Linked DNA regions of Macaca fascicularis. The protein of the gene in region 4 purifies or fractionates together with the protein of the main gene of each other region. This does not show direct contact. Links are inferred from orthologs where the notes say so. Each region holds a gene or a part of one and is shown on either strand. Other genes may lie near its edges.

Region 1 (4,011 bases), on a different chromosome or scaffold from region 4:
AAAGCATCCTGCAGTGCTCAGCCACAGTGACCATTCTGACCTCTCAGCACAGTAAGAGCTCAGGCCCCTTGTACTTTTCAGAACTACAGTACATCTTACCTCTCAAGCTGCCATTTGTAACTATTTCCGCCCTCCCTTCCCATCTTCTTTAATCTCCACAGTCCCCTTCCTCATTATCCCACCCACGGAATCCATGTTACCTGGTTCCCTTTACTTCTTTCTGGCAAACTATGCTCCTTTATGACTCACTCCTTCCCTAGTTGCATAAATGGCTCTGCCTCCCTAAGCCTTCCTTGACGGCTCCTCCCCACCTGATCCCTCCCTTCCGTGATTCCCTTTTATTCTGAGCAACCGAGTACATTAATCTATTTGTATTAGTTTACCTGTTCCAACTTCTCCATGCACAAATCCCTGAATCTGCCATGCCTTTCTCACTCCTGAAGTCTGTCCCCTCTGCTTGAAATGTCCTCTTCTTTGCCTCCCTTCTAAACTCTGCCTTATCTTTCCACACAAAGCACAAATGTCATCCTGACCCTAAGGCTTGCTTCCATCACCTCAAAGACAGATTAAATCTAATAGAACTTTGTTCACCTTTATTAAATTATGGGTTTTTTGCCCGTGTCATAGCAACAGCTAGTACTCATGTGTCACACACCTGAGAACTTTGTATATAGTAACTCATTAAATCTCACAACACCCTATGCTATTATCTCCAATTTAACCTGCCCAAGTTCATAGCTAGTCAGCGGAGCAACTAGGATTTGAACCCACATAGCATGGCTCTAATCAAATGCTACACCACCTCTCCACCCAGAAAACTCCACCTGCAGATCAGGTAACCTTTGTTCTAGAACGGCACTCAGATCTCTTGGCATCCCAAATGTCTGGCACACAGCAGGAGATCACTAAATGTGTTCTGAATTTAACTGAAATTCGTTTAGCATGCATTCCCATGATTTCCTCAAACGTATGTTCTGTCTCCCCAAGCTATCCATGAGATCAAGGGAAAGGACCAGGTCATTTGTTCTCTTCACAGGCACACAATCACAGTGCAAGACAAGAGGTGGGCAACACCCTGTGAGCTCTAGGGGTACAGCTGGAGGAAAACTAATTTTGGATTTAAATGGATCTTGTGTGTGCAACTGACAACGTCTTTTTCACATACCTGATCTCAACAGGTGTTATCAACAATTGAGGTAAGTGGAAGGATGTGAGGAAGATAAGAAAACTAGGTGCAGATTGTTTGAGACCTGGCCAAGACCTCAGAGCTAGAAATATCTCAATGAGATTACAATCCACAGGCTCTGAAAAAAGCACCTGAAAGCCAGCCTCCTGTCCACTGGTGTGGTCCTGGGCAGCTGTGGTCCTCAGGAAAGGGAGAGCCGTTGGGTCAGCTCCTCCCCCAGCAGCCTGGACAGGGGTGGGAGGCTGGTGAGAGGGAAAGGGGAGCCTGGCAGGGTATTCTAGAGAGGAGATCAACTGAGCAGAGGTAAGTCAGGATGTGTTAAGAGCAAGAAAGCAGGTTCGGAAGACTCTGAGGGCTTCTCAAGTGTTTGTTCACCTTTACCAGATGGGACAGAACACCATGAGAGGTGACATGATTTCCTAGTGGTATGATAATATAGATATGAAGAGTCAGGAAAAACTGGCTTATCTTTCCATCAGTTGGAGGTAGTCATTGTTTCCCTATCATTTGTAACTATCCCATTGCGTTTCTAAAAATCTGTATCTTTATTTTATTCTAATTCAACACAACCGCAGATCGAATTTACTCAATGCCGTGTGTAGAGGAAGGATTTTCAGGCTAGGATAAGCTCTGCAGTAGAGAAGCTTTACTTAGTAGAAAAGACAGTGAATTTCTAGACAAAAGACCTGCCCCATCTTATTAACTGGGTGGTCTTCCGCAAGTCTCTTCGACGCCCTGGGTTAATCTCCTCTTCTGTAAAATGGGGATGAAAATGCCCACCTACCCACCTCCAAATGAGTGCTATGACAGTAACTTGCACGAAGGCCTGTGAGCGCCCAGCGTAGGCTTTCTGCGAATCTGAACGGTCTCCAGGGTCTCTGTCTCACGCTCTTCACTATTCAGGAATGAAACACTGCGGATGTCTGCTCAGAAATGTAGGGAGAACCTCCTCCCACAGGGGACCTCCCGCCCCTGCAACTCATGAAGTGAAGTGAAGGCTCGCAGATCGCCAGGCTCTTATTGTAGCCTCGACAGAGGGCGAGGCAGGCTAAACTCCGGGGACGCAACGGGGTGGATCTGGAACCCGAGTTTCTTAGCCCAAGGCATCGAAGGCGTAGGGATTGCTGTTCCCGGCCCGGCCCCTCGCGGTAGCCGCAAAGCGCCACTGGGGGCAAGTCCAGCGGCACGGTCCCCGGCTCGGGAACCACCTCGCTTACCTGCGGCTCCACCAACCATCGCTGCTCGGCGCCGCCGGGCGCAGGGCGCGGGGCGCGGAACGCGGAGTACACGGGGATGCGGTCCCGAGTGCTGTAGAGGGTGGCGAAGCGCTCAGCGCCCTCCGCGCGCTGACAGATCTTCACGTGGGAATCGGTCGCCAGCCCCGCAGGCGGGGTCCCGGCGTAGAAGAACTTGTCACATTCGCCAAAGCCGGCTTCCTCCTCGCCCACGAGCCGGCCTTCCAGCAGCCTAGCCAGGGCGAGGAGGCTGCCCAGCGCGAACCAGCGCGCAGTGCCCATGGCGGCCTCTGCGAGCGCGGCGGGGCCGAGCGGCTAGGCTGCCGCGGCGCGAGCTCTGCGGGCTGGGCGGTGAGCGCGCGACGCAGCCTAGCAGGGTAGGGAAGGGAAGTCGGAACCCAGGCGCCGCGCTCTGCGGAGCCGGGCGGGGCAACCCGGGCGGCGGGGGCGGATCCGCGTCCGGAGGCCGCGCCCCTCTCCCTGAAGATGGCTGCAGAGGCCCAGGGCCGGGCACCGCGTTGCTGACAATGTCCCCTGGGCTGCGCCCGGGACTGGAGAAGCGGGTCACCTGCCGCCGCGCCGCCTGGTCTCAGCAGTCCGCGGGGACGCGCGCTACCAAGAGTGGAGAATCCGAGTGGGGCAGGCCTAGTCCAGGGACTGGGAAGAGATAGTCGCATGGACTGGGCGCCAAGAAGCTTGCTGATCGCGCGCGCCCCACGGCAGCCCTGGGGATGCAGAGGGGTGGCGTGAGATGCTCACGGAGCTGCAGCTGGTTCGGAGTGGATGGGCAGAGTTCCCCTCTGAAATCTTATGAAGATCCTTCTCCCACTCTCCACCGAAGTGCTCAACGGCCAGCACACGCATACAATTTTCTTGCAGTATTTTGTTTTGTTTTTGAGCTCACCAGAAACTCAGAGAGTAAAGAAATACTGTTAAAGGAAGTTCCTGAACTGGGCAGACAGTACAACCCTGTGTGGTTTTCTCGGTGCAAGGGTTAGAAACAAAACCGATACCAAGCAAGGAAGGAGGCCAGCCAACGTCACTGGTCAACAGGTTGGCCAATTCTTTCCTTCATTTATCCCTCTGAATGCCTAGGTGCCAGCCTGAGATAGGCACTGGATTACCACAGGGGTAAACAAGAACAGGGCCCCTGCGGTCACAAAGACAGCCTAGTGGGAAAGCTTGTCACTCACCGAGGAAACATGCTATTAAAGGGATAACTAAAAACTGAACGCAGATCTGTGAGACCCTGACAGCTGCAGGGGTTCAGGATGTAATCCGGGAAGGTTTGCCTGAAGAAATGGCATCCGAGCTGAGACCTGAAGGATGACATTAGGCAAGGAGGAAAACCATGTGCTAAGTGGTCTCCCACAGAAAGAAACATGATGTGTTGGAGGAATTTAAGGAAAGCTAGTGTGGGTAAAGAGCAGAGAACTGCGTGGGGATGATGGGAAGTGGAGCTAAAGGAGGAGGCAAGGGTCGTATTACTCAGGGTATTACAGGCCAGAGGCCTTCAAACACTTTTTGAGAAGGCCCATAATGAGAAAAGTTTCATGAAATAATTCTTATGCTTATGATTGGCATTACAAT
Region 2 (4,024 bases), on a different chromosome or scaffold from region 4:
GGGAGGCCCTGGATGCGGAAGTCTCAATGCAGCAAATTACAGACCTAGTTCTGTGCCCTTATGAAGCACCCCTCTCCCTAAGGGCGCCCTCCACTCCCAAGCGGGGGCGGGGATCGGCAAAGGATCCAGATCATTCGGCCTGCGGAAGTCTAAAGAGCCATTTAGACACCCGCCTAAGAACCTGAAACTACCAGGACCGAACGCAGTCAAAATCCCTGGGGAGCAGTGAAGAATTCACACGCTGGGGCCCACACCTCGGGACGCTCGCATTAATCTAAGGCGGGGCGTGGAAATCCTTACGTTACCAAAAGCAGATTTAGAGGCCGAGCCTCTGTAACTACCTCTCCTGTCCCAGCACTGCTTCTACCTCCCCATCTCTCCGCCCCTGCAACCCTTCCCAGACCAAAGGGAGAAACGCTCTTTCCCGGTTCCAGGCTGCCAACCTTGCAGAACCGCAGCCAAAGGTCACGCAGGCCAGGGGCGCCCCCCCGGATCTGCCACGCCCCCCGGCCAGGCTGGCCGCGTCGGCGTCGCAGCCCAGCACCCGTACCTTTCCCGATGACTTCCAGCAGCTCCTTCTCCTCCTGGGTCAGCTCGCCTTTCTTTATGTGAACCATTGCTCCCGCCAGCTTGAAGGTTATTCTGTTTCTTAGGAAGTATTAAAAAAGAAAAGATGCGTCTGTATTGGGAACGCCAGCCGCAATGAGGCAACTTGAGACCAAGACACTGAGTAGCCAACCGCGGAAACGCTGCGCTTCTCTCCTCCCTCCCGCGGGCGGGCGGACAGCGGGCGAGCTCGGGCGAGCCAGGCTGGAGGTCTCTGCAGGCCCAGCGGCAGTCACCGCCCGCCGCCTGTCATTGGCCCGGCCGAGGAGGAGGAGCCGCAGGAGGTGGCAGCAAGAGATCACCATTGGAGAAACCGGGGAGGGAAAAACCAAATGCAGAAAGCTGGAGGGGGGAATTAAATTGCTCTTATACGTTCCGCACCCCTATCCTGTCCGGTTCAAATATTTCGCCACACGCAATATTGAAAATGCTACATCTGGCAGTTCTGTGCTCAGCGACGGCTTTTTGGGGCGTGCAGAGGTTCCCGGTTGTCGCCGTACCCCCACTATACCCCCAGGAGTGGCGTGGTCTGGGCAGGGGCGGTCTGGGAGGCGGGGGCGGTACGGGAGGCGGGGCTGCGCCGGGTTCCGTGTGTCTATGTCAATGTGTCTGTCCTTCACTCCTCCATTGTCTGCTGCCGCTGCTGCCGCTGCCGCCGCTGCCGCTGCACGAATCGCCGCAGTCCCCAGCCTTGCGCGTCGTCGCTACCTCCTCGGACAGGTGAGAAGCAGCCCAGGTGAGACAAGGGGTGCCGGGAGGGTTGCGAGAGCAGCGACTGCCGCCCCGCCGGGGCTTCCATCGGGCCGGAGCTGGCGGGGAGGAAGCATGTGCCTCCTGGGGCGGCTTCCTGCCTCGCGGTGGAGAAGCCCCCGCTCCACCTCATCATCACCGCGCTTACGGGGTGTCAGTGACCTGGGATGAAGACCTCCGACTCGCAACGTTTGGCCGCCCCGGGAGACCCTGGGACCGCAGGCGGGCGGGTGGGGGCCAGCCACGCGGTGAGAAGTGGCGGGTGCACATGGTCTCGTGCGTGGCACCGCCAGACGCGGCTCCCGGGGAGGCTGGGGCCAGGGCTCTGGGCTAGGGGTCGGGAGGAGAGCGCCCCATTACTAGCGAGTCAGTGAGGACAGACTCGGGAGAAGGTAGTTTTTACGTTGGTAATCCTCGCCCTCCCCACTACTTGTCATCTCTTTGGCCTCTGTGGAAGCTGTAGAAGAAAACCGGAGCTGATCGCCTAATGTTGCTTGTTAACGATGTTTGGAAACAATTTACACTTGCACTAATACTTCGTTTATGAGAGACAGCCTGGGGGAGGAAAGGGCTTCTTTGCTCTGCTAGAGTTCTTGGTTCTCTTTGTAACTCAGATCTTGAGATTTATGGAAATACGGAGTGGAGGGTGGGGAGGTTGGAGAGGGCGGAGATTAAATTGGTGTTGCTGCCTATATATAGCCTTAGATTAGCCTCTTAATCCAACCTTCATTCAACTGTAATATGTAGCCTGGAGCTTCAACCATAGGTAGATGGGGATAAATACAAGTGTGTACTCAGAAATAACATTTGCTTGCTAAAATGTGGGAATCAGTGATTTCTCCAGGGTACGCATTTATATTTACATCATCAATGAAAGTTTCTTTGAAAATTCGTGTTTATGTTTTACTGTTGTTTCCCTACAGAGTAGTATTGATGTTTCTCTCAATATGTGTGTCAAAGAGACATGTATGTGTCAAAGAGAAATATTTGAATAATTATGTAGGTGGTTTTTGTTAAGCATCCCCAGGACCACTGTTTCTTCTCATAGTGCCATACAAAAAGCGAAATCCATTTTCCTCTGGCCTTAGGCGTTTATTTTGTGTGAAGCTTTCACTAACACATCTGAAATCTCCTGGAGTATGTTTATCATTATTTCCTGCCTTTAGCAAAAATCTTTCCTAAACTCCAGCTGTTTTTGCCCCCTAAAGCTTCAGCTTCAAAGGCTGGGACAGATCTGAGCCAGAACATCTTACATGAAAATGGTTTGAAATTATTCATCTCAGTGTATAACAAAGATACTTTTGTTGGATGATGCTTTAATAATGATGTGGCTGTTCAGGCAAGTAGTAAGGCTTCTGAGAGTGACCGATCTTTTGTAATGCTGTTAGTTCCAGAGTTACAATTGATTTATAATACAGTATCATGCGGAAGAAACCCACAAACCTAAAAAAACGCGTGAGTAGTAACCTCCTGGAACATGTGATTTAGCATCTTACCAGCAGATGCATACACAGAATTGGGTACTTCATTGCTAGTATTTCCATCTCTTGTGCCAAATCTGGGCCATGGTTACTTGAAGGTCACACCTGTTTGTCTCACTGGGGTTGTCAGTTCCTCGAGGATAGCAACTAACTATTTTCTTGATGCCTTATGACACTTGTTTGGTATTTAGTGCTCTCTGAATACATGACCAGTGAATTTAGAGACAATAACATTGAAAGAGAATCTAACATCTACCTAGAAATGCAGATAAATCATGTTCAGTTTACATTTCTAGAAACAGATTCATAATGGGTACTTTTCATTAGATGGATTGATCACATTAGTAGTTGTATGGTGTAAATATTTAATGTAGGAATAAGATTAGATAATGAGCATATTAAAATAGATTCACATCAAAGAAGTTTTATTGATAATAAGATGGCTACTTCATATTGAGTATTTAGTCTGTGCTAGATATTCTACCAGATGCTTTGCATATAATTATTCTATTGTTATGACAACTCAGGAATTAGCCAATTTTATCCCCACTTCTGCAAATAAGAGGACAGAAACTAAGGGAAATAGTTTGTCCACAACCCCATATTAGGAAGTGTCAGAGTCAGAATTGGAATAATGATTTCTGAAATGTGTGAAATGTATGTGTCCTCTCGTATCTTTTTCTACTACTACCACTCTAGACCTATTGCAATGCATCTTAAGTAGCCTGCTTCTCTCTCACCTGTCTCTGTCTAGCTAATTCAGGGAACTACCAGTTCAATAAACATTGAGCACCCATCATTCTGTGAATGGCTCTCCTCTGGCCACAGAATAGAGGGCTGGGTCTGGCCTGGAAGGTTCCCAACCATCCATGGTCTCAGCAGGCATTTCCAGTCATCTGGGCCCTCCCACACACTGAGCTCTAAGGTCACCACTCTGCTGGTTCCCCAACCTGCCGGTAATTTCCACCCCTTTGTTCCTGCTTTTCTCCTTCTCCGAATGACTTCCCTTCCCTTTTCACTGAATCTCCTCTCCAGATCTGATGAACTATTCAACTTTTCAGACATAATTTAAACAAAAACTCTTTTCTTCAGCTTTTGTGTTCATCTCTCTCTCTCTCTGTCCAGTAAGGGAAATATACGTGCTAGTAAATACATTTATTCATGTCTCTTGGCAAGGGTTATAAGTA
Region 3 (4,125 bases), on a different chromosome or scaffold from region 4:
ATTTCTGTTTCAAGATGACACTGAAAAATTATTCTAATATAACAGCAGCAAAAATGTAATTCTGCAATTATAAAAGTGCAAAACTGAAATTCATAATGAAGGTTTTCTCATGTTTACAATTATGGTTATTTAATCAATACTAATACTATGCAGGTCTGTTGTAAGATTTCTAGATTTGGTTTAAACACATGCACACAATACTGCCAGTTGTGGGAGGCTTTACAAGTTATATTTCATGCAACTTTTTTGAAAGAGTTCTAAAAGAGTCAGCCAGTCCACAAGACAGACAGAAAAAAGTTAAATTAACTGGAGTAAATTGGACTCTTAACATTTAAAGCATGCAAGATTCAGGAGGAAACTGGGAGTACTTTGGGACTGGCCTGCTATCTTCTTTAGTATTAATTTCATCTTAACAGTTTAAGAATTTGAACATTTTAACACCATCAAGTTCATTTAGGTGACGTGTTTCTTGTGTGTTAACTTGACTCCCCTGAATGATCTAGTTAGTGAACTGGAGTCACTAATAATTTGGTCACAAGGCAAATCAAGCCTACACGAAAGGAAGTGAAAACTCAAAATATCATAGTATCATCTGAACCTACTCAAATAATTTATTTTCAATATAAACATGTAACTTCAATAATGAGATGACTCATTAATGAGCCAAGCTCCTCCAACAAGACAACGACAACATCTCTTCTTCTAAGGTTTAGGTTTTGCATAGAAATCCGGATACATGGAACAGCCCATACCAACAGTCATTGCTCCTACAACAAAGCTGGACTGCCACACGCATGTGGATCAGGTGATGCGATATTTTACTATTTCCCCTGCTCTTCAATTTGTATAATCCATATGCAGCAACTACTGCAAAACCTGCCATTCCAATGAGGACAAATGGTGCCTCTTTAGCTTTACAAATCAGTTTGGATCCCTGGAATCCCTTACAAGTCATCCAGCTTCGCCCACGGATATTTTTAGGAATGGCAACGGTGACCAGAGATCAGAGGATTGTAGGAAGAGAGGGCGAATAGAGTAAGTTCGCTAGCTTTCAGATTCACATCTGTTCCTGAGGCTTCCTCCCTGCCCCCACCCTTCCTTCTTCAATCAGGCTAAGAGCTCCTGGAGAAATGGAACACCTGATTCAGTGAGGGTGACAAATAATTATGAGTATATTCGTGCCTGGGTCCTGGGTAGAATGGGGTGGGTGAGGTCAAGCCATCTTGGCTGGCTGGCCAAGCTCCGAACAGCAGGGGGCGCTGTAGGGGAAGTCCCGCCGGGTGCGCCGGGCGCTCTGGCACTAGGGTGCCGGTCGTCTCCTCCGCAGCTTCCGGCACGGCCTTCGAGCGCGGGACGCGGCAAAGTCATGGATCGCAACCCCTCGCCGCCGCCTCCGGGTCGCGACCAGGAGGAGGAGGAGGTGGCCGGTGGAGACTGCATAGGGAGCACGGTTTACAGCAAACACTGGCTCTTCGGCGTCCTCAGCGGACTCATCCAGGTGTGGAAACTCGCGCCACGCGTGGGCTCTTCCCACATCCCCCAGGCACCCGGGCTCCGCCTCTGGCGGCTCCTCCTGCTCCGGGAGCCGCCATCCCCACAAAGACCCCTCCCCAGGCGTGCGCTGCGGGACCTCGCTTGTTGCGTTTCGCCGGCCGCTGCGGACCCCAGAACTATCTGGGGCCCCTCGGGGTCTCTCGACACAAAGGGAAGTATAATGTTAGGGATGCTGGAATACTTGGGGTTCTATTGTAGTTTCGCAAGTTCTCCAAAAATACACGATCGTGTAACTGCATTGCTCGGGTTTTGCTCCCCATCCCCACTGTCATTTCTGAAGCCCAGGTCCTTAGTTTATATATTTCATGGACTATAGTTGTAATATAATAAATGGTGATTTTAGGGTTATACAACTTTTATATAAAAAACGTGGCTTCTGACTAGGCGCGATGGGTCACGTCTGTAATCCCAACACTTTGGGAGGCCGAGGCGGAAAGATCGCTTGAGCCAGGAGTTCGAGACCAGCCTGGGCAACATAGAACTGGTTTCTACAAACTTAAAAAAAGCCGGTCGTGATGGTGCACACCTGTAGTCCCAGCTACTCAGGAGGCTGAGGCTGGAGGATCGTTTGAGCCTGGAGTTGGAGGCTGCAGTGAGCTGTGATCCGGCTACTGCACTCCAGGCTGGGGGACAGAGGGAGACCCTGTCTCAAAAAAACAAAAAACACAGCTTCATTACCCACTAGCTGCAGGTCACCTAACGGCTCAGAACCTCTATTTCTCTCTTAATTTCTATAAAATGGGATTATAATATTTATATTATTATATATAGGGTCATTGTGTAGGTTAAGTGAGATTATAATGGCCATAGAGTGCTTAGCATGGTGTTTGACTTATAGGAGGCTGTCAGTAAATGTGGGTTTTCTTCTCCCCATGTTTCCCTCATTGGTTCCTCTGCTTCTCTTCTCTATCCTCTCCAGTTAATTTTCTACACAGCTGCCAGAATAATCTTTAAAGACATCGCTATTCATGACACTGCTTAGTTCCCTTTGCATAGGAGAAAAATGCATATTTCTTGAAGCTTGGGATCCAGGGCTGTGTATACGTTTTCCAGCCTCATCTTCTCGTGATACACTATGTTCCATCAACAGCGAACTGTTCACCATCCCCAAACATGCTAGGCCCTCTCTCAACTCTGAACTCTTGTACTTTCCTCTGAATACTCACTTCTCTCCTTCTTCACATGACAAACTACTATTCTTCCTTTAAAATTTAGCTTAAATATCAACACCTAAGAGAAAGTTCCCCATCTTCTCCCAGGAATAGGTCATTGGTCCATCATTTTTGCTACCACAATTTTTTGTCCACAATTCATTTGAATCACTTTGCCTTTTTTTTTTCTTTTTTTTTTTTTGAGACGGAGTCTCGCTCTGTCGCCCAGGCTGGAGTGCAGTGGCCGGATATCAGCTCACTGCAAGCTCCGCCTCCCGGGTTCACGCCATTCTCCTGCCTCAGCCTCCCCAGTAGCTGGGACTACAGGCGCCCGCCACCTCGCCTGGCTAGTTTTTTGTATTTTTTTTTAGTAGAGACGGGGTTTCACCGTGTTAGCCAGGATGGTCTCGATTTCCTGACCTCGTGATCTGCCCGTCTCGGCCTCCCAAAGTGCTGGGATTACAGGCTTGAGCCACCACGCCCTGCCCACTTTGCCTTTTCTAATATGACTATCCCTTTACATGTCTTTCCCCACTAGATCCTAAAAGTTAAAAAAAAAAAAAATCTTAAAAGTAAGGGATTATATCTAACTCGTCTTTGTATATCTACCCCAGTGCCTAGCAACAGTATTTACTTTGTGAATGTTGAAAGAATAGATCTACCCAAGGCACTAAGTTTTTAAAAGAAGATTTTTGCAAGAGAAGATACTTTGCTGGTAGCTTCTTTGTGTCTTCTAAACAATTATGGGTTATTATTAAAGTAAGTCCTCACTTAACATCAGTAGGTTCTTGGAAATTGTGACTTGAAGCAAAATTACTGATAATGAAACCAATTTTACATAGCTAATTGATATAAACAAGAGTTAAGTTCCTGTGGCATATTTCTGGACAGAAGAACATCACCAAACTTCTAAATGAGGACCCAAAACATGTCTAGTATTAAATATTGAAATAAATGTGAGCTATAAATACATTTAAGAAAGGTTAATAAAAACAAGAACTATTTACCTAATTTTGGTGAGTTAGTGAGTGATGGTGGTTGTAGTGATTATCACTACAACTTTTATTCTTTGATTATGTTAAATCAAGGAATAAATGTTTACAAAGCAAAAATGACCACCTCTTACTACCGTACAGTCCAAAAACAAAAAAATAAGGCAGGCTTACTGAGCACATTCCTACCACATAATTATTGTCGTACATCTCCATGATTATTGTCTTCTTTACAGATTTTTGTTTTATAATAATTTGTATTCATCCATTTCCCAACCCAATTGCTCTGGTTCAGAGTTGAGGGTGGCTGGAGCCTAAACCAGCAGCTCAAGGTGCAAGGCAGAAACCAGCCCTGGACAGGATGCCATCCCATCACAGGTACACACACACCCACACTCACTCAGATCGGGACCATTTAGACACACCAG
Region 4 (4,272 bases):
CAGTGCCCCATCCTGGCACTAGGGGCCAGAGGAGTGATTTGAGTCAGAGTCTCTGCTTGGACAAAGCTGATGTCACGTTCTGATTGTCTTTGAATATCACCAGCCAAGGCCTCCAGTGACCAGATGTCCATGAATCCAGAAGTCATCTTGACCTTCTATACAATTTGGAAACATTAGGGGAGGGAATCACCACAGGCAGGCAGGTGACCATCATAATGATGACAATGGCAAACACGCCGGTCTATCACAGGCCAGCCCACACGCAAGCCCAAAGAGCTGGATGCCATAACCACCCCATTTCACTGATAAGAAAATCGGGCTTGGGGTTAAGTCATCTTCCCAGATCACACAGTTTCTAAGAGGAAGAGTTAGGATTCACATCTGGGCAGACTGGAGACTACTCTCCTATTACTCATTCCAGTCTGTGCTCCCCATCTCTTGGGCTACAATGTGAGTTGAATGTTGGGTGCCGGCTGTAGGCAGCAACAGGAAAAGGAGGTGTGGCTTCCTCTTGGGCGTCCCCTCAGCCAGCATCAAGATAAGGGGCTCAAAGACAGCCTTGGAGGGAAGGAAGAGAGGTACAGGAGGGTGCCCCTCAGGCTAGGGGAGGGATGAGGTAGGCAGTGACATGACATACCCAGCCCACATTCTGAACCAAAATTCCCAGTAAACATGGAGGATCATAAAGGATCTATATATACACACATATTTATATATACATATATATTACATGTATACACACAAATGTAAACACACACACACACACAGACATCCCCAGTGACACATCCCCTCCCAGTCCCAGCACTCAGGACTCAGAAGAAATGAGCAATGAGTGGTGGGAACAGAGGCTGACACATAAGCCCTGGAAATGAACAGAATTGGGTTCGATGCCCAGGTTCACCAATCACTTGCTGTGAAGCCTGGGTAAATTGCTCTACCTCTCTGATTCTGTTTACTCACTTATAAAGTAGAGAGGGGAATAGTACCTTCACCATCGGTACTGCTGCTGCTATACTGATTGAGAATTCTGTTGCCTCCCTACTCCATCCCACTATCTTCTTCCTCACCCAGCCTAGTGGCTGCTGTAAATGTATACCCAGCTACTGGATGAATCAACAAATGCTTGGCAGCAGAGGATACTCAAATGCATGTATGTTCCTTGGTGAGGGGCCAGGTCTCAATGTACCCAAGACGATCTCTATTCACTGGGACCATCTGTGCTCCCCTCTGCAATGACAGGCTAGTTTTCAAGTATTAGGTACCTACGACACACCAGGCACTGTGCTAAGCAGTCTCCCTTAAATGTCACAGTAACTGATCCATGAGGCTACATAAACCTGGAGAGATGAAAGCCACACATCTACTGGGTGGAAGAATCTGGATTGCCCCCAGGTCTCCCTAACTCCAAAGCCTGCCCTTTGCAGCATGCCAAGCTGGCCACAAGAGTTTGGGCAGGTGCCTTCCCCTGCTGGGGAAGTTCACCATCTGTAAAATATGGTGGTGGTGGTGATGGGAGCAGACAGAGTCCACATACTACAAACAGGCTGGTCTCCTGTCTGCCCTCTCTCCTGGCCGAGCCTGAGTCTCTCGGAATACCTCTGAGGCCTTTCTAGGTACACCATTCAAGGCTTCTAACCCTCCTGTGGGCCCAAAGTGTCCTGGGAGTGTAGATGATACTAACCCGAGACAGAGTGTACTAGGACTGTGGGTGATGCACACCCTGGCCTCTCAAGGGGTGTGGGAGGCAGAGAGGACGCTTGGGGACAGAGGCGGCGTCTGGAAATAGGGTGTGACAGGCAAGGGGAGAGCTGCTAGGACACTCTACCAAAGCAGGAGGGAGGGTGTGTCTGGGGCTGGCTGGGCTCCTAAGCAGGCCCTAGAAGCACTTTCACAGAGGAGGGGAGAAGTGAGTCACCAGCTTCTCCCACATCCAGCGCCCTGGTAGGAGGCGCTGCTTGGTGTGCTGAATGAATGTTGGGCTTAAATAGTTTCCCGAGAAAGGCTAGTTGCAGGGAGAAGAGGCCTTGAAGGAACAGCCCTCAGCCAGGCCTTCTCCAACCAAATCCTTGCTAGGAGGAGGAGGGGCCCCGACAGTAGAGAAATGCTCCCTCTCCCCCTAACTCCTTCGCTCCCAGCCCAGCCTAAGCTTTTTGCAGCATCACAGCCTCGGTTTACACAGCCTCCCTAGAGCGGGGAGCTCTCTGCCCGCCTGGACAGCCCTATCCGTCCATTGCTGGACAGCTCCACTTGGGCTGGGTCGCCTTCCTCCCTCCCAAGGGAATGGCCCCCTCTCTGAGCTCCCGTCCAGCTCTCATAATGCGCAACCTTGGGACGGCTTCAGGGCCCCAAGATACAGGAGGGAACTAGGAATGCAAGGAGGAGCCGCGGAGAGGCGTACAAGCAGATCGTAGTGCGGGAGCAACACCTCCGAGTCCGCCTCCGCACGAACGCCGAGGACTAGGCGGACCAAAGAACACGGACAAAAGAAGTCTGGACGGGTCGAGAGATTAACAGAGGGATGAGCTGGCGAAGGCACCGACACGGCGCGCAGAGGGAGATGCGGGCCCAGCCGCAGGGAGGAGCTCCAGACGGCGAAACGGACCCAGAGGGCCCCGGGGAAGAGCCCCAGGGCGACGGAGAAGCCTGGGTGTGGCCCGGCTGGCCAGGGGACACTCACATTCGCGGCCATGGTGGGACCCGGCTCGCTGCCGCCGCCTCGCGCTGTTCAGCTAGGAAGTGGGCTGACGACTGGAGCGCGGAGTCCAGCGGCCTCTTGCCAGCCCCAGCTTCGAAAATCCGCGTGGACTCCAAGACCAGGCGGGACTTACTGCAGTTACCGCCCCGTGTGCCCAGTGTTTCTGCGCATGCGCGCGGCGAGACCTGGAAACGGGTCAGGGACATTACAGTACCTCATTGATGCGCCTGCGCACTGCAAAGCTTTCTGGGAAATGTAGTTTCTACTGCCTGGCGAGCTGCTGTGGGGCTCGCGACCTGCTGGGAAATGTAGTTTCCGGCTGAGGTGGGCCTGGCCGCGGTTAAGAGGGCGCCGAGGCAGGCGCGCGGCGGGCAGGCCTGGAGGGGGCGGGTCCGCGCGGGCTTCGGAGGCGCCCGCACTGCCTGAGGAGAGGAGGTCACGGCGTAAAGCTGCAGCTACCGCCACTGCCGCTTCTGCAAGGTCTCAGGGACGGGCTGCAGCCATGTCCTATTGCCGGCAGGAAGGTAGGGAGGGCGGGCTGCCATGGAGACCGGCCTACGAGGGCCTGCGGGAGACACGCGGGCCCCGGCGCCCCGCTACCACGCCGCAGGCGCGGGCCACCCGAGGCGCGGCCCGGTTGCCCACCCTGGGACACTCGGAGGCGGGCAGGCTGGGGGGTCGCCACTCGTGTTTTGCGAATGAGAAAACCGAAGCTCTCGGGGGAACGGGACTGGTCCAAGGTCACAGTGAAGCCCGAACCCTGACCTCAGAGGGGCCTGTGCGTGGGAAGTCGTAAACTAGGCCGGGTTGGGGCACGGGAAATGCCGAGCACGTTGCGTGTGGCTCGTAACTGGGAATGTATGTTAATTATTACTACCGCTCCTGCCATACCCCACGTGTTGCCATTTTGCACGCGCCTTTAAAAGGCGGGTCCCGAAAAGTTGCTACTGGGGGTAGCGTGTGCTGTGCTGGGGTGCTAGGAGTTGTGCTAGGAGTTCTACTAACGGGAATGTTTTTGAGCCCCCTGCTACCTATCAGGCACTGTTCAAGGAAACTTACGTGGCTTGTCTCATTGATCTCGCTGCGCCCTTTGTAAGTCAGACTCTGTTACTGGTCACATTTTACTGAAGAGTAAAGTCTGACACAGGAGACTTGGCTAAAGCCACTCAGCCAGCAAATCGTGGAACCGGGGTTTGAGCCTGGGCATTGTGACCCCAGAACAGCCTTTTCCAATCTAGTGCCCAGTGGATTGCAGGGAGAACCCTGCCTACCTCCCACCCCAAAGTTGAGCTCCAACCACCTAATGCTTCCTTGATGTTACTCTACCCAAGAGCTCAGAAGTACCCAAGCCACAGGTCGGAGGGCCTCCCCACACACTGCCACAAACTGACTCCTTGGCCCTAAGCTCCTACCTAACCCCTCCAGGCCCTGGTTTCCAGTGTTGTAAAATGAGATGTTGGGCTTCACTGATACAGCAAATATTCATGAAGCATCTTCTCTGCTCCAGAGAAGGGGGATGGATGGTTATAAAGCTACAGAGAGAGTTGGAAGTCACCCAGAAATTCTTTGGTGAATAC
Region 5 (4,274 bases), on a different chromosome or scaffold from region 4:
TTTTAAAGATTGAAACATCCAAATGACTCCAGAAATCATGTTGCATTTTCAGAATAGAAAGAAACACCTTACTCTAGGCTTTAAACTTCACTGACTAGCAATGAGTGTGGGGAAAAAAGTTTTAATTAGAACATCCAAATGCCTTAATATGCTTTTATCTTAGGAGGGAGAGAAAAAAATCTCTGAAACCAATTTGAAAATGCAACCAGGATCATAACTCATTTAAAAATATTTGGCTATAAAAATACATATATTTTTAAGTGAAATAATGAACACGTTAGTCAATTACAATTCATATTGACTTCAGAAAGCTCTACTATTAAATCATAAACTGAGAACCTGGGTATGGGAAGGTAGTGATATAAAAAAGAAAGAGTTAAAAATAGACAACACCATAGCCCTCTGCTTGAGACAAAATAGAGCACATTCCTGATTTCCACTCAATGTTAAAAACACAAGCATAGAGAACCTGATCTTCTCAATACTAATATTCAGCCACAAAGCACTTATCTCATAAATATTACTTAAGTTCATTCATTTACTTCCCTATTTAATAAACACTGTAGCACTGATTACCTGGCAGTTAAGGGTGTTGAAAAGTCAGTCAGAAAAACAGAAACACATTCAACAGATAAAAATTCAGCTCAAATACAGTTTTAAAAATTGCTTATTTTATATTTGCATCAATGCATTCATAATACTCTCCTCACATATCTCAAACACGGTCTGAACAAATTTTCCTAAAAGCTGCAAGTCGATACTTTAAAATCCATTTTAGTGATGGAAAAAATAGATGTAGTAATTGTTCCTATCTTTAGACTAGTGGTACACAGACTTACTACTTCTGTGTATACACAATGTTTTTCACTTTCAAACCCTACCTTTGGAAAGAAATACAGAGAACATAAATTTTTCTTCTAATATTGCTTCCAAATGAGTTTCATGAATACAGTGTAAATCTAATTATAAATATTATTTGAGCACAAAAAGATCACTATTGCTACCTGCATTTCTAGGCATTGGATAATGTGGCCTACTGAAGCATAAAAATAAAAATCCCAGCAGTGCCAAGGCTCGCTATGCACCTGAAATAAATAAACCTCTTTAGAATACAAATTTCTCACCTGTAAAATCCGGATCAATCATACCGATTGTCAGTGTTATAAGGAATAACAGATTAAATACAATAGGCTGAAAAAAAACCTCAAAATACTGCACAGAAACACCCGGTGTATGCTTCAGCACAAGGATCCTAACCACCCCCGGAAAATGAACCCTCCACCAAAAAAGGACCTCCCCTCCACCTCATTGATTATGCATAAAACATTAGGCCACCTCCAAACTGTTTAATATATTAACATAAATAGAGCACGTGACCCCTCGAGTGTCAAATCCTTATTAGGTGATTATGGATTTTGGCCTTGGTTACCTTTAAAGTTCTTGATCACTAACTTCTTAGCAGAGCCAGGCTTGCTGTTAGCAAAGCTAGAGACGGTGGTAGAAGATTTGGCTAGGCCGTTTGCATGATGCACCGAAGCCACAGAAGAGATTAATATACTCTTATTTTTAAGTTGCTGCTGCTGAGATGTTGCAGCAGTTGGTGAAGATGAGGAGGAGGAGGAGGAGGATTCCTCAGCCATCTTCGCATCAAACCCTACAAACTCCAGGGTGTCTTCAAAACGCAGCTTCTTCTGTATCGGTACGTGGCTGGAAGCAGCCACTGAAACCCCCAGGCAGAAGGACGAGGTTGAAGGGGATGCCGAATCCCTGGGTTGTAAAGGAGGAGTGGAAGAGGAGGAAGAGGTGGAATCAAAGTCTTCTCTCTCGTTACTACTGTTACTGCTGCTACTGCTGCTGCTGTTTAACTTTCTCTTCTTGGCAGAGGTGGGCGGAGTGGTGCTGGTATTACCATCAGTGGCAGATCTGACCTCCTGAGCAGCAGCAGCAGCTGAGGGACTGGGGGAAGAAAAACCTGTTGGAAACATGAAAATAGCGGGGTCAACAGGCAGAGGAGCATCAAAAACCTACGTTTATATGCCTGCGTGCGTGTAGGAGAGAAGGTGGCAATGCTAGAGGGGGAAGGGAAGAAAGAAGAGAGGAGAAACACAGAGGACGAGAAGGAAAGTGAAGGCGGGGGGGGCTACACCGGGGGAATGGGAGGGTTTGGGAAGGCGGATAGGCTGACACCAGGAGTGAGCAGAACGAGGGGGGAGAGCGAATGAGGAGGCAGACAGGTAAACGGCCGTGCCGTCCCCCTCCCCTGCTTTTCGATCTCTCTCCCCCCCTTTCTGCAGGAGCGACTCAGCGAGTCTGTGAGGCTGCAGCTCCTCCTCCTTTTCTCCCTCTCCCTGGGAGGGGAGAGGCTGTGGTTGGGGGAAAGGGGGAGGGGGAAAGAACCAGGGCTTGTTATTGTCAATAGCACAAGAGGCTAAAGATGGCGCCATTTCCGGTCACGCGGCACCGAGGGAGGGGCGGTGCCAACCTCAGGGATTGGGGGTGAGGGAAGCGCTGCAGCCGCCCGGGGGGCGGGTGAGCTCGCGCGTGAGGGGGCGGCTGGGAAGGGGCGGCTAAAGTGCCCCAGACGCTCGCGTTAGTTCGCTCCGGCTCCCGCTCTCCTTCGCGCTCCCCCTTCCTGGCAGCGCCTTCCTTCCCTGGCCCACCGGGGACTCCCACTCGCTCCTTAACGGTCCCGCGGGAAGCTCCGCGCCGCAGCGCCCTTACCGGAAGTGACTGGGCAGACACTTTTCATAGCGCCCAGATCCCGAAGCCCCCAGGCCCGCAGGACTTGAGTTGGGGGGGGAAGGGGGGAGGGAGAAATTGGGGGGAAGAAAAGTGGATGGGAGGAGGGGGCGGGCCTTCGAGACACCTTCGGAGCTCCTGATTGGAGCTTTCTGAAGGCGAGGGGGTGGGGGGGGGGTGGCGGGAGGAACGGGGAGGAGCGGGAAGGAGCCTCGGGGAGGGAAGGTAGTGACGGCGAGGGGCGGAGTGAGCTAGCTGGGAAAACGGAGGAGGAGGAAGAGGAGGAGAGAGGGAGGGACGAAATAAAATGTAAAGGTCCGGGAGAATGGAAACTTTGAAAGAGATAAAGGAATAAGGAGTGGTTGCAAGGCTAGGGGAGTAACCCTAAATAGAGGAAAACATAATCATGCTATTATGCCCGTTACTGGAGAGGAATGTCCCGATGTTAAGATAGGAAAGGAGAAGAAAACGAGCTAAGATAGGAAGAAAAGGACTTTTTGATTCGGTGCCGCTATAAATTGTTTCTCTTTTATCTCAAGGCACCACAGACCCAAGGCTGAATAAGGCCTGAGTTTTGATGCCTTTCTCTTTCATGTAGCTGTAAATCCTTTTATCTTCCTACCAGGAGCATTTTCTAAGCTGGCTGGCCAAATTAAGGGTGTATTCTAAGGCGAAGAAATAGAAAGGTAACTAACCACTCACCCACTGAGCACTGTGCCCAGGACCGTCCTAACCCCCACTCTATCAGTCCTTAACTCTAATTTATAGACCAAAGCTAAGACCCACTTCCTTCTTTTGCCAAATCTCAGCTTACACGCTGTCCCAAAGGAGACATTTTAGAACAATATTGGCAAAAGTTAATGTTTTCTACCAATGTGTTTCATGAGCCCCCGCTTTACATTTGATGACTGATTTTAAAAATCTTTAAATTTAGTTAAATTAGCAACAATCAACCTTGTAAATTCCCTGTTGGGAGTTTTTACTTAACCTTGGGGCATTCTCAGAGGGAGGTAACACAATGTCAAATAGAACTAAATTTGCCAACCTGTTGATCATTCTAACTGCAAAAGCATTCAGTGAGCATGTATGGTAAGACACTATGCAAGGTCTCTGCCCTTGAGAAGCCAGTAAGGGAAGATAGTTTCAAAACTAATTTCCATAACAATACTATGACAGATATACAAAGTGCTGTCAGAAGAGGCAAAACAAGAAATTTGGGGGAAATCTGGAATAGGAATAGTTTTACAGAGATTGTGTTTATGCTGTGCCTCAAAGTGGGAGTTGCCAAAAAGACAAGAGGGAACAGGATGAAAGGCATTTTGGGGAATGGAAACAAGGGCAAAGCAAGGAGTGAAAGGGCCTGGCCTGTTTATGGAAACATGGAAAGTGCAGTGAGGCTGGGAAGTAGGATGTCTAGCTGGGAGTAAGGAAGATGAGGCTCAAAAGGGCCTGGCACACCAAGCCAAGAATTTGGAGTCTACTCTGTAGGCAATCATAGATAGCAGGGAGACAATCCAGCAAGCAGAGCTTTTACA

Evidence for each region. Proteins that work in one complex are often made in the same cells at the same time.
Region 1: the proteins of TMEM43 (region 4) and ENDOD1 purify together in Homo sapiens (affinity purification with mass spectrometry; 3 studies listed by BioGRID and IntAct, with this or other methods). This does not show direct contact. The link is inferred for Macaca fascicularis from reciprocal best matches to the Homo sapiens genes TMEM43 and ENDOD1.
Region 2: the proteins of TMEM43 (region 4) and BZW2 purify together in Homo sapiens (affinity purification with mass spectrometry; 3 studies listed by BioGRID and IntAct, counting the BioPlex papers as one, with this or other methods). This does not show direct contact. The link is inferred for Macaca fascicularis from reciprocal best matches to the Homo sapiens genes TMEM43 and BZW2.
Region 3: the proteins of TMEM43 (region 4) and SAAL1 purify together in Homo sapiens (affinity purification with mass spectrometry; 3 studies listed by BioGRID and IntAct, with this or other methods). This does not show direct contact. The link is inferred for Macaca fascicularis from reciprocal best matches to the Homo sapiens genes TMEM43 and SAAL1.
Region 5: the proteins of TMEM43 (region 4) and CUL4B purify together in Homo sapiens (affinity purification with mass spectrometry; 3 studies listed by BioGRID and IntAct, counting the BioPlex papers as one, with this or other methods). This does not show direct contact. The link is inferred for Macaca fascicularis from reciprocal best matches to the Homo sapiens genes TMEM43 and CUL4B.

Annotation. Positions count from the first base shown.
Region 1 is NC_088388.1:94,102,287-94,106,297, reverse strand, and holds the start of ENDOD1 (endonuclease domain-containing 1 protein), read right to left. Parts: upstream 2,801-4,011; 5' UTR 2,704-2,800; coding exon 2,404-2,703; intron 1-2,403. UniProt on the Homo sapiens protein: May act as a DNase and a RNase. Plays a role in the modulation of innate immune signaling through the cGAS-STING pathway by interacting with RNF26.
Region 2 is NC_088377.1:113,551,651-113,555,674, reverse strand, and holds the start of BZW2 (eIF5-mimic protein 1), read left to right. Parts: upstream 1-1,224; 5' UTR 1,225-1,342; intron 1,343-4,024. Other genes in the region: ANKMY2 (ankyrin repeat and MYND domain-containing protein 2), read right to left, coding at 551-617. UniProt on the Homo sapiens protein: Translation initiation regulator which represses non-AUG initiated translation and repeat-associated non-AUG (RAN) initiated translation by acting as a competitive inhibitor of eukaryotic translation initiation factor 5 (EIF5) function.
Region 3 is NC_088388.1:47,667,642-47,671,766, forward strand, and holds the start of SAAL1 (protein SAAL1), read left to right. Parts: upstream 1-1,325; 5' UTR 1,326-1,366; coding exon 1,367-1,498; intron 1,499-4,125. UniProt on the Homo sapiens protein: Plays a role in promoting the proliferation of synovial fibroblasts in response to pro-inflammatory stimuli.
Region 4 is NC_088376.1:152,388,629-152,392,900, reverse strand, and holds the start of TMEM43 (transmembrane protein 43), read right to left. Parts: upstream 2,801-4,272; 5' UTR 2,690-2,800; coding exon 2,678-2,689; intron 1-2,677. UniProt on the Homo sapiens protein: May have an important role in maintaining nuclear envelope structure by organizing protein complexes at the inner nuclear membrane. Required for retaining emerin at the inner nuclear membrane.
Region 5 is NC_088395.1:126,835,759-126,840,032, forward strand, and holds the start of CUL4B (cullin-4B), read right to left. Parts: upstream 2,801-4,274; 5' UTR 2,750-2,800; coding exon 2,722-2,749; intron 1,973-2,721; coding exon 1,430-1,972; intron 1,326-1,429; exon of another isoform or gene 1,147-1,325; coding exon of another isoform or gene 1,125-1,146; intron 1-1,124.